Linked DNA regions of Stegostoma tigrinum. The protein of the gene in region 2 purifies or fractionates together with the protein of the main gene of each other region. This does not show direct contact. Links are inferred from orthologs where the notes say so. Each region holds a gene or a part of one and is shown on either strand. Other genes may lie near its edges.

The links.
Region 1: the proteins of innate immunity activator protein-like (region 2) and cyth1b purify together in Homo sapiens (co-immunoprecipitation; 3 studies listed by BioGRID and IntAct, counting the BioPlex papers as one, with this or other methods). This does not show direct contact. The link is inferred for Stegostoma tigrinum from reciprocal best matches to the Homo sapiens genes INAVA and CYTH1.

What each region holds. Positions count from the first base shown.
Region 1 is NC_081375.1:16,533,424-16,540,810, reverse strand, and holds the start of cyth1b (cytohesin-1b), read left to right. Parts: upstream 1-4,380; 5' UTR 4,381-4,934; coding exon 4,935-5,001; intron 5,002-7,387. UniProt on the Homo sapiens protein: Promotes guanine-nucleotide exchange on ARF1, ARF5 and ARF6. Promotes the activation of ARF factors through replacement of GDP with GTP.
Region 2 is NC_081374.1:27,357,934-27,365,829, reverse strand, and holds the start of innate immunity activator protein-like, read right to left. Parts: upstream 3,015-7,896; 5' UTR 2,665-3,014; intron 1-2,664. UniProt on the Homo sapiens protein: Expressed in peripheral macrophages and intestinal myeloid-derived cells, is required for optimal PRR (pattern recognition receptor)-induced signaling, cytokine secretion, and bacterial clearance.

The DNA.
Region 1 (7,387 bases), on a different chromosome or scaffold from region 2:
GTTCAACTAAGGACATAGGAGAAAATGCTAAGGTCCCAACATTATTAAACTTGATGTTGAGTCCTGAAGGCTGTAGAGTGCCCAAGCTGAAAGTAAGATGCTTTCCATCCAGCTTGCACTGGTTTTGCTGGAGCACTGCAGCAAGCCTGAGACACAGATGTTGGCCAGGGAACATGGTGGTGTGTTGAAGCGGCAAGCAATAGGAAGCTCAGGGTCACTTTTGCAGACAGAATGTTGATGTTCTGCAAAGCGGTCATCCAGTCTGCATTTTGCCTCCCCAGTGTACAGCAGGCCACGTTGTGAGCAGTGAATACAGTAGACTATATTGAGTGAAGTGCAGGTGAGTCACTGCCTCACCTGAAAATGTGTCTGGGATCTTGCATGGTGAGCAGAGAGGAAGTAATCAGGCAGCTGTGACACCCTCTGCTGTTGCAAGAGAAGATGCTGTGGGAGATGTTGGGAATGGAGGAGCAGTGGAACAAGATGCCCTGGAGGGAATGGGCCCTGCAGAAGGCTGACAAGGGAGGTGAGGTGAATATGTCTTGTGGTGAAATTCTATTAGAGATGGCGAAAAAGGTTGTTAATGATCCTTTAGCTGTGATGCTGGTGTGTTAGAAAATGAGGACCGGAGAGAGACCCTATAGCTATTAAGAGAAGGCAGTGAAGTGGTAAGGGCCGAAGTGCAGGAGATGGATTGGACACAGATGAGGGTCATGGGGAATTCAGTTGAAGAAGGAAATGGACGTTTCAGAGGCCCCATTGCAGAATCTGGCCACATTGGAAGAGATGTGATGGAGAAGGAGGAACTAGGATAATGGAGTATTGTCTTTGCAGGAAGCATGTTGTGAGGACGTATAATCAAGATAACTGTGGAAGTTGGTGGGTTTGTTGTGGATATTGGTGGCCAGCCCATCATCATGAATGGACATGGATGTTGAGGAAGGGAAGGAAGGAGTCAAATGTGGACCAGGTGTAGGTGAGAGCAGGGTGGAAATTGGAAGCAAAATTGATAACATTTCCCAATTCCGGGTGAGAGAGGGAAGCAGCACCGACAATGTTATTGATATACTGAAGAAATGTGGGTGGAGAACAAGGTATGTTCCATGTACTCCACAAAGGGACAGGCATAACTGGGCCCATGCAGGTACCCATGGCCTCCTTTTTGACCTGAAAAGAGAGGAGCGTTAAAGGAGTTGTTGCTTAAAGTAAGGGTGATCTTGGCCAGGTTGAGGAGGATGGTGTTGGTGGATTGGGATCGTTCAGACTTTTGTTTTTTCAGGAAGTAGTGGAAAACCCTGAGACCACCTGATCAGGGATGGATGTGTAAAGGGATTGCACGTCCATGGTAAAGAAGAGGTGGCTTAAGTCCACAAAGTGGAGATTCTGAAACAGATGGAAAGGGAAGGGACTGGACAAGAGGTGAAACAATTCTGTCGATGTAGGAAGAGATGAGTTGTGTGGGGCAAGAGCAGGGATAAACGATGGGTCTGCCAGGCGGTCCTGTTGGTGGATTTTGGGAAAGAGGTAGAAGTTTGCAGGACTATGAGCTCAGAGATAGTGGTGGGGAGATAGCCAGATGACATGAAATTAGTGACTGTTGGCGACACGGTGGCCTGGTGTTTTGTGGTGGAGTCATGGTCCTATGTGAAGTACGAAGAGGTGTCCAAGGGCTGGTGCTCAGAAGCCATAATGAAGAGGCCAGTATGCCAGTGCCAGCAATTGCACCACCCTTCTTGACAGGCTTGATTACAAAGTCAGGGTTGGATCTGAGAGGACGGAGTGCAGTCAGTTCACAGTTTTTGGGAGGCAGAGATATTAAGGCAACCAGTGTGACTTTGAGTGGCGGTAAATACCACAGGTTTGGGTCCAAATGGAGGAAGAGTGTTGGTGATGGGTGAAGGGGTTTGTGGAACTAGGAGAGGACTTTCATCCAAAGAAAGAGGAACGGAGGTGAAAATGATGGAAGAGGAGTTCAACATCATGTCATGCCCAAAATTCATTTGGTTGGGGGATGAAGCAGAGACATTAAAACTGAGATTTTTGCTGAGTACAGAACACTCAGCATCAGGAAACTTAAGGTCAGACAAATAGTAAACACACAACAGGAGGTGGGATTAGGGGGTTCGGATGGTAGGGGCGAGAGGAACTTTCCAGAGGGACGTGTTGCTTCTTGTGTTCAGTAGTGCCTGAAAGGAAAAGAAAAAATTCTTGTTAGTGTTGGATGAGGCGGAGGATGAAATGGAACTGGGGTCACGGCAGCTCTGAGCCAGCATGAGATGGTGCTGTTGGAGAGAGAGATTAAGAATGTGTGTATGGCACCACCTAGCACTGAATAGCATAGTACTGTGTCCTAGCTACAATCTGTTCTGAAGAACAGTCACTGGACCTGAAACATTGACTTTTTCTCTACAGATACTCCCAGGCCTGCTGAGTTTCTTTCTAGCAATTTCTGTTTGTGTTTCTGATTTCCAACATCTGCAGTTCTTTGCTTTATTTTCTTACAAACTTCTGAGGTTTTGATTATATTTCTCCATATTTTATCATTGCTGTTAGATCACCAAACTGGACTCTGATTTGAAACGTATGTTTACATACCCTATAGCTGTTTTTGATCAATGGGACTACACAGAAGTTTTTATATACAATCGCTGACATCTGCTGAATGAGCTTCTCCTGCTCCTATGCTGTTCTGTATAGGTCCCAATTACTGTGATATAAAAGTGCTATTTTTATCAACTGCAAAGATGCTGCACGTTGATCAACAACTCCATTGTTAATAATTTGTGTAGTCTTAAAATTAGAAAACATCACCAATATTAATTTGCTGCTTTGTTAGCCCTATTACATATACTCTTCTTACTCTATTATGATGTACACGTGTATTAGTTCTTATAACATAACTACAATATTCTTGGACCATTGCAGCCATAGATAATTAACTCCTAATCATGATCCTGACTTGGAAATGTATCACTTTTCCTTCAGTGTTGCTGGTCAAAATCCTGGAATTCCCTCACGAACTGCATTGTGGGTCTACCTAGAGCACATGAACTGCAGTGGTTCAGCTCACCACCACCTTCTCAAGGGCAACCAAGGATGTGCAATACATGCTGGCTCAACAAAAGAATTGAAAGAAAAACTTCATCAACGTTGCTCGTAAATCAACAGAACATTTTTATAAAAAAAAATGTGAAGCTGATATAACTTCAGTTTCAATACGGTTCCTCATGGTAAATGGTCCTTCGCCGATCAATTGGCAGATAATTGGAATTTGCCATATTGTGAATCGGAGGGATGGAGTTGCATCCTTATACCCTACTACAACTTGATATGTCGTTTTAGTACACGAGGATGCTGTCCGCTATAGTTGTCTGAAAGCATTGTCTGCCCTATAAATAAGCTTGCCATATATGGAGCGCTGCACAGTCACTGGATGTTATCTGCTTTCTTAGATACATAAGTTATTTTTTTACTCCCCACTTGCTGACAGCTCCTGTTATTTTAGCTTTTCATTTCTACATGAGGACTATATAGTCTTTTCCTTTAAAGGAATAGATCTAAGATTGAAAGTATCTTGGAAAAAGAAAATGTGTTGACATTTCTGAAGTCTTCCAACAATACATCATTTGAATGAATTTGGATCCGGTATCAAACTTGATAGCAGTCAAATAGCTTTACTCCTCCTCATATTGCACCAGTGACTGTGGCATAAGAGAGCAGAACTTCAGTTTTGATCAGCATTTTGACTGAAAATCAAAACTGAGATTATAAACCTGTAAGAGATTGTTGGAAAAGAAACTTCATGACATTTGTTAAATTGTACCTGCATCCTAGTGAGATTACAAAGAAATGTGTGCCAAAAAAATGACAAATTGAACACATTGCTGCAGTGCTTTTCTGATGTTTAAAAAAACAACTGTAACAGTATCAGATGAATATTTAAAAAGAGAAGTTGCTTTCTAAAACATATCTGGGTACTAGTGAAATAAATTTATATCGTGTTAAGCTCTACATTTATCTTCTCACCTTTGACCAGAAATATATAAATTACTGAAAAACATGTTGCATGCCCAAAGGGCATATTTTTAGAACTAATTATGATTAGTCAATCATTTAAAACATTGCCAAAAAAAATCCCTGAATGTACTATTTTGTAGTATTGTGTACTGTAGCCAGCTTTGGCAAAATCACATGTTAAAAAACAAACAAATTGGATAATACTGCTCCTTTTATCATAGAAGCTGGAATCTTTGAACCTTGTTTAGAAGAATCTCTTTTCATTCTTTTGAAGAATTGCAATTACTTTTCAAGTTTTTTTAGTAATAGTGCAAGTCTTAATTTCTAACACTTTTTAAAAAAAAAACCTTTTACACAATACTGAGTACATTTTTAGTGCGTTCATTTTATGTAATGGAGAGTAAGTTGCTAAGCAACAATGAAAAAGGTTTTGTAGGTGAACATGGAATCTTTGTTATAAATTAAAAGCCCCTAGAAAACTTAATAACATTCACCTTGACAAGGGCTGGTAGGAGCTAAGGTTGGAGATGCAAGTAATTCACAATTATTTGACTTTATTACTTAAATAGACGTTAGATTGTGTTGTCATCTATGTGCACCTGATTGGCTGAATGAATACTGAGGCAGGTTGTCAGGCAGTGACGTTGAAACACTTTGGCAATTTGGAAATATTTAAGCCTTTCCTGGATGTGTGGCCAGTGAAATTCGATTACTGACAGTCTGCTGCAGTGGTGCACCAAGGGACTACATATATAGAGAAAAACCAGATGACAGTATTTCCCCATTTGGGAGAGGACTTCAAAACTGACTACCAGAGAGATTACATTATCCCGTGAAGCCTGTGTGGCGAAAAGCCCATATCCACTGAGATAAATACATTTGACGGCTTTTGGATTATAAAAAAATTGAACCGAGTGATGGGAACTGTTAGTGAGCTCTGTGCATCCAGCTTCCAGGCTTTCCTCTGTGTAAATGCAAAACCAGGTATGGTTGAATGAGATTTAAAGCTGAAAGATAGTCTTTGACTAGTACTGTAAGAGACACCACTTTAGGTGGTGGGTTTCCAAATTTAACAAACTGATCAGATGCAATGGCTATAAAAGTGAAACACTTTGATCCATTACCCATTTTTCAGCATGTTTGTTTTGTTTTGAGTTAAATATATTTCCTGTTAATACAATGCTTTAGCAATACTGACTGTGTACAATCTGAATATCCATAGCAATGAAGAAAACAGACTGGAATTGATATGTTTGCCAGTATTGTATGGTCATTATTATGGCAATATTGCCATTATTATACTTTTATGAATGTTTAAAATTGCTTCAAAAGAGACAAGAGTCAAAAAATTAATAAAACTCTATTTACTCCTGAAATTCTGCAACTATTTTTCAAAAACTTTCATCTTTTCTGATGAACTTGAAATTTAATTCCAGTTGTGGCTCGATTAGCATCAGGTTTTGTGTAGATGACTGCATTTTTGAGCAGTGAAACATCTGGAAACCTGCTAGAGGTGGAAGCACTTGTTGTTTTTCTGTGAAACTTCCTTCTTGTATTAGGTCACTAACTAACTGGTATTTTTCCCACTTGAACTGCACTAGAATTGAGAGATCTGGAAGATTTTGAAATTAATATCACCACTATCTACATATTTATTGTATTGTGCAGAAAAATGCTGAGATGTTGATTAGTGTTAATGAAATCAGTAATTTGTTAATTTGAATTTGATAATTTATTACTGAGTGTTACACTATGTAGTAGGTATTTGAGCATTGGTTATTAAAACAGGTTTTGTAGTAAATATTCTGTCTAGTAATCACTGAAATATGTATAATCTCATGTGCAAACCTTTGTCCATGTCCAATTTATTTCAATTGTATTGACATGTAGCCGATATGACAGTTTTTAACGCAGTTGACTGTCTCTTGAAGAATGATTGTTCGTGTTAACAGGATTCCATAGAAGTAGGGAATAATTACAGCACAAGGGAACCATTTGGCCCTTTGCGTCCATGCTAGCATACTACAAGAACAACTTAGCTAGTTCTAATCTCTCATCCTTTTCCTGTAGTTCTACAATTTATTTTTCCCTTCCGATAGTTATCTAATTCCCCTTTTAAATCTGCTATTGAAACTGCTTCCAGCTGCACTAGGATAGATTTTTAGGTCTGTCGGTAAGGAAGAGTGTTTGGGAATAAATAGATACGCTTTCAGAAGAACCAGTGCAGAAGAGATCGATCAGGTGGCCTCCTGTGCTGTATGTTTAAGAAATAAATTTCCTCTATTCAATTTGTGCCTTTAAATCCTGAAATAGTTGAGAGAGCATTTAACTTACGATGATTTCAAAATGTGTACATAGTAATACCATAGTTTCCATTAAGTTTGAAAAAGATGCCCCTTGTCAAATTTATATATAATATTTATCAGAAGGATCATACAGGAAGTTCTAATATTTCAGCATAATCATTGATTAAAACATAACGTGGCAACAGACAGCTTCATAATCTGTCAGCATGTTTTGTAGTCTTGATCTTTCCGACAGTGATGTTCTGTCATTTAGTGGATTGTCATCCAAAATAAGCAATCAAATGCAAATATTAATTTGGGGAAAATAGAACCTGTAGGAGAGTATAGCCTTCTGCCCATCAATCCAAATGCTACGTGTAAGGAGGCTTTTCTGCTAGTCGTCTGTAGTGTATGTTAGCATTAAGAATGGAATAGACATCCATCAGCTGACTAAAGCAAGAAATGCTGACAGCAGAATGCTTGGTTTGAAGTTTCTGTTCCTAAAAGTAACTTGCATATTCAGACATTTCAGCCACTAAAATGGCTGTGCAGCTTTTGTGCAGTGTTGTTTGTGATTAAATACTTTTTTGAGCCTTCAGAGGAGTCAACCACAAGTTATCTTTTTGTATTTCTTTCAATCTTGATTTAAAGCACAAAATAGGCTTGAAATGTTACAAATACAGTCCTGAATACTCTTTTCATTTTAAGTGTATCTTACAGTATTTCTTGAGACCTGCATACTACTTTACGTAATCAGTGCAAATCCCATTCAAGATTGTGCTGAGTTGGCAAAATGATCATCTGTTGTGAAGTTCGTATCGCTAACGCCGTGAGACTCCATTTTGAACATTTGAGTATTTGGCTGGAGTTTGAAATACTGGATTCAGAATGGCCTTTTTTACTATAATCTCTTGTTTCTTGTTTTTTGGCAGTCTGTGTAAATTATGGCTTGACCTCCTACTGTCATTATTACTCAAGAACATAATTTTCAGGATTTCTTCCTGAGAGAGTATAATTAACTCTTGGCAATAACAGTAGCTATTCATTAAGTTTGAGTCTTGCAACTTGTAATATACCCCACTCCT
Region 2 (7,896 bases):
CTTACAGAAGAGAAATAAAGGGAAAGAATGTTCGAGTTGGAAAAGATGAAGCAGCTTGAACACGATAAAGGACAAGAAAGAGAGTTTGAACTTTGCAAGTTGGCGATTAGACCAGAAAGTCAATTTAAAAGGATGGAGCTGAAGGTAGAGTGTAGGCTTAATGAGGATGACAGTGATGATGAGCAAACCCATAGTAGCCAAAGTCCTAGATAACAAGATGTAGAGCTGGATGAACACAGCCAGTCAAGCAGCGTCAGAGGAGCAGGAAAGCTGGCGTTCCAGGCCAGAAATTTCTGAAGAAGGGTCTCGACCCAAAATGTCAAATTTTCCTGCTCCTCTGATGCTGCTTGGCCTGCTGTGTTCATCCAGCTTCACACCATGTTATCTCAGATTCTCCAGCATCGGCAGTTCCTACTATCTCTGTAAGCTTTTTAAAGGTGCCTGTTTTACCCCACTGCTAATGTGTTCTGAAGCCAGTTGGTGAAGTGGCAATCTTTTAGTTAATTTCAGAATGCAACATTACAAATGTCTGTCTGCTCCCTAACCAATATCTGGTGTCTCAGAAGTCTCACTTTATGAGCTTTGTTCAGACATGCTATGAAACACCTCCAGAGCAGATGGGACTTGAACCCAGGCCTTCTCAGGTGGGGACACTATTGCTGTGCTACATGAGCAGTTCACAAAACAAGAGAACATCACACCACGAGTCATTCTGGACTTGAACCAGCAAAATCTCACAAGTTCATTCCGAAGCCACATACCTCAAAATGAGAATCATACCCCTCAAGCAATGCGGCAGCTGCCAGAAATCTCTCTTCATATTTGATTCAATGGAATCAAACCAACCTAATTAAATAAAAGTAGTCATCACAGTCATACCAAACCCATAGGCTGCTCTTCTTTTGAGAGGGATGACTGGTGGTGGTTTAACCTGAGGGTGACCATGCCTCAGGCAAGGGGGAAAGTTGAGAAGGTAAGTCTTCCCAGACAGTGGCCCATCAAAGCATGAATGAGGTCTGAATCTGCTTTGCTTCTAAGAAGAGATCCGGTCAAATGTGTTCAGTCAAGTATGGCCATTGTCAAGATTCTCTTTTTATTTGTTCAATGTACTTACAAATTTGAATTTTCCAGTCAATTCTTACTTTTGATATATATATGTATATACTGTCATCCTTACCTAGTCTGGCTCTAGGTTTGAGGACAGACTGATAAAGACCAGAAATAAGAGTGAAAGGATGTACCAAAATGTAAGCAGACAGCCAGTCAAAAACATGAGAGAGAGTGTGGTGGGGAGAAGCATGACATAGAAAGCCAGTTTCTCATACTTAAGTTTCGAACATCCACACAAGAGCAAGTAATGTATAACAAAAAAGAATTTCACTCCCCTAAGTGGCTCAGCTGGGAAGTACAGGTTCAGGTGGAACTTAGCGATATAGATCAGCAATGTATCCTCAGATTCATTGGTCTGAGTGAAATTACCTAAGCGCAGCTGTGTTGGCGACAGTGCAGATACATTATACTTCAGGATTTCTAGGCTATCAGGAGAAAATTCAGCTCAATGTTCTCACAATTAGTCACTGTCCAGTGGCTCCTACTAGGAACGATATGTACTTGGACATCACGTCAAGTTGCACATGAACAGTCTGCTGGTATTGATCGTCTAGGCTTGCATGAAGAATTATCGCTTGGATGAGGAACTACCCAATGACTGACACTTGGTAAAAGTCTGTAGCAACAGGGGGAGAGAGGTGCAGTGAAGTAGGGGAATCTGGAAGAAGTACAGAAAAGGAACATCCAGAAATAAACCTGTAAGAAACCAGCACCGGATTCTATGAATTAGGTGAGAAAATAGAGCTGTTTACTAGATTACAAGGGAAAATGACATCCTTGCGATTTTATTGTCAATGTTCTGACCCTACTTCACTACCAAGTTCCAGATTAAACAGCCAAACTCTCACAATATCAGGATTAAAGAATTTCTTTATCAGTGGATGGAATAATGATGGAAGCTCTATACCACACCTCCGAGAGACTGCGTTTTCATCCAGGGCTAAGGAAAAACTGATACTGTTCACCTTTCCTCACTGCCTGTAAGGTTCCTATCAAGCGATCAGAGAGGCCAGTGCCTGCAGGCAGTGTCCCACTGCTACTTGTAAAGCTACTTTATGATGATCACCACCAACTGATATCACAGTTGATAGATAAGTCATGCACGATGTGACATATCTTCAGGGCTTTTCTAAGGTCAGGTTGGCTGGTATTTTTTTAGTCCCATTAGTTAGTACTCTGCGAAATCAGGCTCCACGTAACCCATCACCCATAATAATCAGTCTCCGAAATAAAACAAAAGGCTATTGTACTTACAGCGAAACTTCAAACAGCCAGTCACTTAACTGACCATTATCAAGAATCTCACATCTAATTTGAGAACCTGCAACAGTGCTGCTCTAACTAAACCTTTTTCGCAGAAATATGTACTATTACTGCTTATAAACACACACACACATTGTTATATATAACTGTAAATACCGAAACAAGTCAGGTCCTATACTGACTTGAGCATGGGTTAGTTTATATTTTCTTCAGATTCTCGATGAAAGACAACCTCTTTAACACGTAAACAAGCCTGACTGCTCAACATCTAGGAGGCAATACAGCGCTTACCTGACACTCTTCTGAAAACAAGTGAAATTTCTGGTCAATTGATGTAAGCTCGTTTTCAGGAACAAAACAGTCACATTGGAACACACAGTTGTTCATGCGTTGCATCTCAACTTGTCTGCTTCGAAGGACATCTGTCACTGGAATATACTGATTCAGGAGAGGGAGAAGGGGCCCGAAATATGTTTGCCCTGCATACAAAATACTGCTTGCTTGCTTTAGTGGGACACCAAACCAACTGCCGAACGTACTCACTAATTTCATTCAAACCTAACAGCTCGCCAGAAAAGTATTCTCTCGTATGAAACATCAGCAGCAAAATTCTCCAGCTCCCCCACTGAAAATCCACTGATCCGCCAGGACCAAGACTTTAAGGGTTGAGTAAGGTCCTTCAAGCAATACTTAAGTCCCCTGGGGAGCATTTTTTTCTCTCATTTAAAGTAGATTGGACGATATAATAAAAATAAACGAATGACATCTAGAATGAGTTTGGAAGTTTTTCTGGCGTAGGAATGTTTTGTTTGCTGTGGTGCTGGGAAGACGGTTGCAGAAGGAATTATAGTTGAGCAGAGAATCGTTGCCAACATTTGCAACACAAATTCCGTGCGTAGGTATAATACTTTCGCTCCAGCAGCTTCACAAACTTTTCCATGTATTCGCGCAGCAGGAATGGCAGAAGTGCCAATTTGCGCGGACGAATATAGTAGTCCTTCAGAAACCTACTTCTGGCACTTTGACCAGACTCTGACCTACTGTATGTTCAATGATAAAATAAAACAACGACCCAATTGGTCCAAATAATAGTTTCGAATGGATGTGGTGGTGGGGGGGGGGGGGGGTGAAGGCATTCCAGGAGATGAGCCAAATAAGTATCACAGTTATTTATTCGCGGTGACACAAATAATTGTTCGAGCAACATGCTTTCACTGAAGGTTGTGTAATAACTAAGAACTTTTATTTTAGTAAAAGCTGACTACCCCGAAATGTATAATGTGTCACAATTGTTAATTTATTTTAGTAGAGAACATTTGGGTAATAATAGTTCAGTTGTGAGAAACTTATTATCGAATTGTAAAATGAACTTTCCGGAATGTTTCCTTTTAACGTGGAGAATGGAATTGAAGCCAATTTGGGAATTTGGCTGCATGTTGTGTCTTCATCGATCCTTGATCCACTGCTTCCACAGAAAACGTTATGAAGCATTTATTGTACCAAACACACTTGTCAGTAATGAAATCATATTGAAAAGATTCAAAGTAATGAAGCATTCAAATGGAAAGAGAATGACAATTTGATTTCAAATATATATATGAACAGCTCATATATAATACATGTTTATTGATTAATCAGTGTGTCTTAAGAACGGTGATCACAAATAAAGACCATTCTCTTGAAATTGTAAAGAAATTTGTGGCTGTATAGATGATATTAAAGCTATTAATTAGCTTACACTTGTTGATAGCAGGGTGACGAAACAGAGCATGCGCTTTCAAATATAAAAAAAATGCCCTTTCAATGGAATTTAATTTTTGAATGATCTGTTTTTGGGTGAAGTTGGATCAAAGAACTGGGCTTTTTGCAGGATATGCGAAAACACATTCCATAAAAATACATTTGTATAGGGACTTTGGATTTAAATTTCTGAAATCAATTCTGAATACCTGTCGGAAAGGATATTCTGCATGTTGCAAATACACAGAGAACATAGAACATCACAGCACAGTACAGGCCATTCAGCCCTCGATGTTGTGCCGACCTGTCATACCAACCTGAAGCCCATCTAACCTACACTATTCCATGTACGTCCATATGGTTGTCGAATGACGACTTAAATGCACTTAAAGTTGGCAAATCTACTACCATTGCAGGCAAAGCGTTCCATTCCCTTACTACTCTCTGACATTCATAAAGTCAGGAGGTATGAGATACAGGGTGATTTGGCTGCCTGGATTCAGAACTGGTTGGCTGACAGGAGGCAGAGAGTGGTTGTAGATGGTAAATATTCTGCCTGTAGGTTAGTGCTGAGTGGTGTCGCACAGGGCTCTGTTCTTGGGCCTCTGCTCTTTGTAGTTTTTATAAATGACTTGGATGAGGAGGTTGAGGGGTGGGTTAGTATGTTTGCTGATGACATAAAGGTTGGAGGTGCCGTTGATAGTATCGAGGGCTATTGCAGGCTTCAGCGAGACATTGACAGAATGCAGAGCTGGGCAGAGAAATGGCAGATGGAGTTCAACCTGGATAATTGCGAAGTGATGCATTTTGGAAGGTCGAATTTAAATGCTGAATATAGGATTAAAGGCAGGATTCTCGGCAGTGTGGAGGAACAGTGGGATCTTGGTGTTCAAGTGCATAGCTCCCTCATAGTTGCCACCCAGGTGGATAAGGTTGTTAAGAAAGCATATGGTGTTTTGGCTTTCATTAACAGGGGGATTGAGTTTAAGAGTTGTGAGGTTATGCTGCAGCTCTACAAAACCCTGGTGAGACCACACTTGGAATATTGTGTCCAGTTCTGGTCACCCTATTATAGGAAAGATGTGGAGGCTTTGGAGAGGGTGCAAAGGAGATTTACCGGGATGCTGCCTGGACTGGGGGGCTTGCCTTACGAGGAGAGGTTGACTGAGCTCGGACTTTTCTCTCTGGAGAGAAGGAGGAAGAGATGTGACCTGATCGAGGTGTACAAAGTAATGAGAGGCATGGATAGAGTCGATAGCCAGAGACTTTTCCCCAGGGCAGGATTGACTGCCACGCGGGGTCATAGTTTTACGGTGTTAGGAGGAAGGTATAGAGGAGACATCAGAGGGAGGTTCTTCACCCAGAGACTTGTGAGCGCATGGAATAGTTTACCAGTGGTAGTCGTGGAAGTGGAGTCATTAGTGACATTTAAGCGACTGCTGGACATGCACATGGACAGCAGTGAATTGAGGGGAATGTAGGTTAGGTTATTTTATTTTTGGATGAGGATTATTCCACAGCACAACATCATGGGCCAAAGGGCCTGCACTGTGCTGTACTTTTCTATGTTCTATGTTCTATGTAAAGAAACTATCTCTGTCCTATATCTTTCACCCCTCAATTTAAAGCCATGCCTCCTTGTGCTCGCCATCACCATCCTAGGAAAAAGGCTCTCCCTATCCACCCTATCTAACCCTCTGATTATTTTATATGTCTCAATTAAGTCACCTCTCAACCTTCTTCTCTCTAACAAAAACAGCCTCAAGTCCCTCAGCCTTTCCTCGTAAGACCTTCCCTCCATACCAGGCAACATCCTAGTAAATCTCCTCTGCACCCTTTCCAAAGCTTCCACATCCTTCTTATAATGCAGTGACCAGAACTGTACGCAATACGCCAAGTGCGGCCGCACCAGAGTTTTTGTACGGCTACAGCATAATCTCATGGTTCCGGAACTCGATCCCTCTATTAATAAAAGCTAAAACACTGTATGCCTTCTTAACAGCCCTGTCAACCTGGGTGGCGACTTCCAAGGATCTGTGTACATGGACACCGAGATCTCTCTGCTCATCTACACTACCAAGAATCTTACCATTTAGCCCTGTACTTTGCCTTCTGATTACTCCTACCAAAGTGCATCACCTCACACTTGTCTGCATTAAACTCCATTTGCCACCGCTCAGCCCAGCTCTGCAGCTTATTTATGTCTCTCTGTAACCTACAACATCCTTCGTCACTATCCACAACTCCACCGCCCTTAGTGTTGTCTGCAAATTTACTAACCCATCCTTCTACACCCTCATCCAGGTCATTTATAAAAATGACAAACAGCAGTGGACCCAACACCGACTCTTGCGGTACACCACTAGTAACTGGTCTCCAGGATGAACATTTCCCATCAACTACCACCCTCTGTCTTCTTTCAGCAAGCCAATTTCCGATCCAAACTGCTATATCTCCCACAATCCCATTCCTCTGCATTTTGTAGAATAGCCTACTGTGGGGAACCTTATCGAACACCTTGCTGAAATCCATATACACCACATCAACCGGTTTACTCTCATCTACCTGTCTGGCCACCTTCTTAAAGAACTTGATAAGGTTTGTGAGGCACGACCTACCTTTCACAAAACCGTGCTGACTATCCCTAATCAAATTCTTCTTTTCTAAATGATTATAAATCCTATCTCTTATAACCTTTTCCAACACTTTACCAACAACTGAAGTAAGGCTGACTGGTCTATAATTACCAGGGTTGTCTCTACTCCCCTTCTTGAACAGGGGAACCACATTTGCTATCCTCCAGTCGTCTGGCACTATTCCTGCAGACAATGATGAGTTAAAGATCAATGCCAAAGGCTTGGCAATCTCCTCCCTGGCTTCCCAGAGGATCCTAGGATAAATCCCATCTGGCCCAGGGGACTTATCTATCTTCACACTCTGTAGGATTTCTAATACCTCTTCCTTGTGAACCTCAATCCCACCTAGTCTAATAGCCTGTGTCTCAGTATTCTCCTTGACAACATTGTCATTTTCTAGAGTGAATACAGTTGAAAAATATTCATTTAGTGCTTCCCCTATCTCCTCTGACTCCACACACAACTTTCCACTACTATCCTTGATTGGCCCTAATCTTACTCTTGTCATTCTTTTATTCTGTAAATACCTATAGAAAGCCTTAGAGTTTACCCTGATCCTATCCGCCAACAACTTCTCATGTCTTCTCCTGGCTCTTCTGAGCTCTCTCTTTAGGTCTTTCCTGGCTACCTTGTAACCCTCAAGTGCCCTAACTGAGCCTTCATGTCTCATCCTAACATAAGCCTCCTTCTTCCTCTTGACCACAGATCCCACTTCCTTTGTAAACCACGGCTCCCGCGCTCTACAGCTTCCTCCCTGCCTGACAGGTACACACTTATCTAGGACACACAGAAGCTTTTCCTTGAATAGTCTCCACATTTCTAAAGTGCTCATCCCGTGCAGTTTCCTTCCCCATTCTATGCTCCCTAAACCTTGCCTAATCTCATCGTAATTGCCTTTCCCCCAGCTATAACTCTTGCCCAGGAACATACACCTATCCCTTTTCATCACTGAAGTAAACATAACAGAATTGTGATCATTATCACCAAAGTGCCCACCTACTTCCAAATCTAACGTCTGGCCGGGCTCATTACCAGTACCAAATCTAATGTGGCTTCGCCCCTTGTTGGCCTGTCTACATACTGTGTCAGGAAGCCCTCCTGCATACACTGGACAAAAACTGACCCATCTATAGTACTCGAACTACAG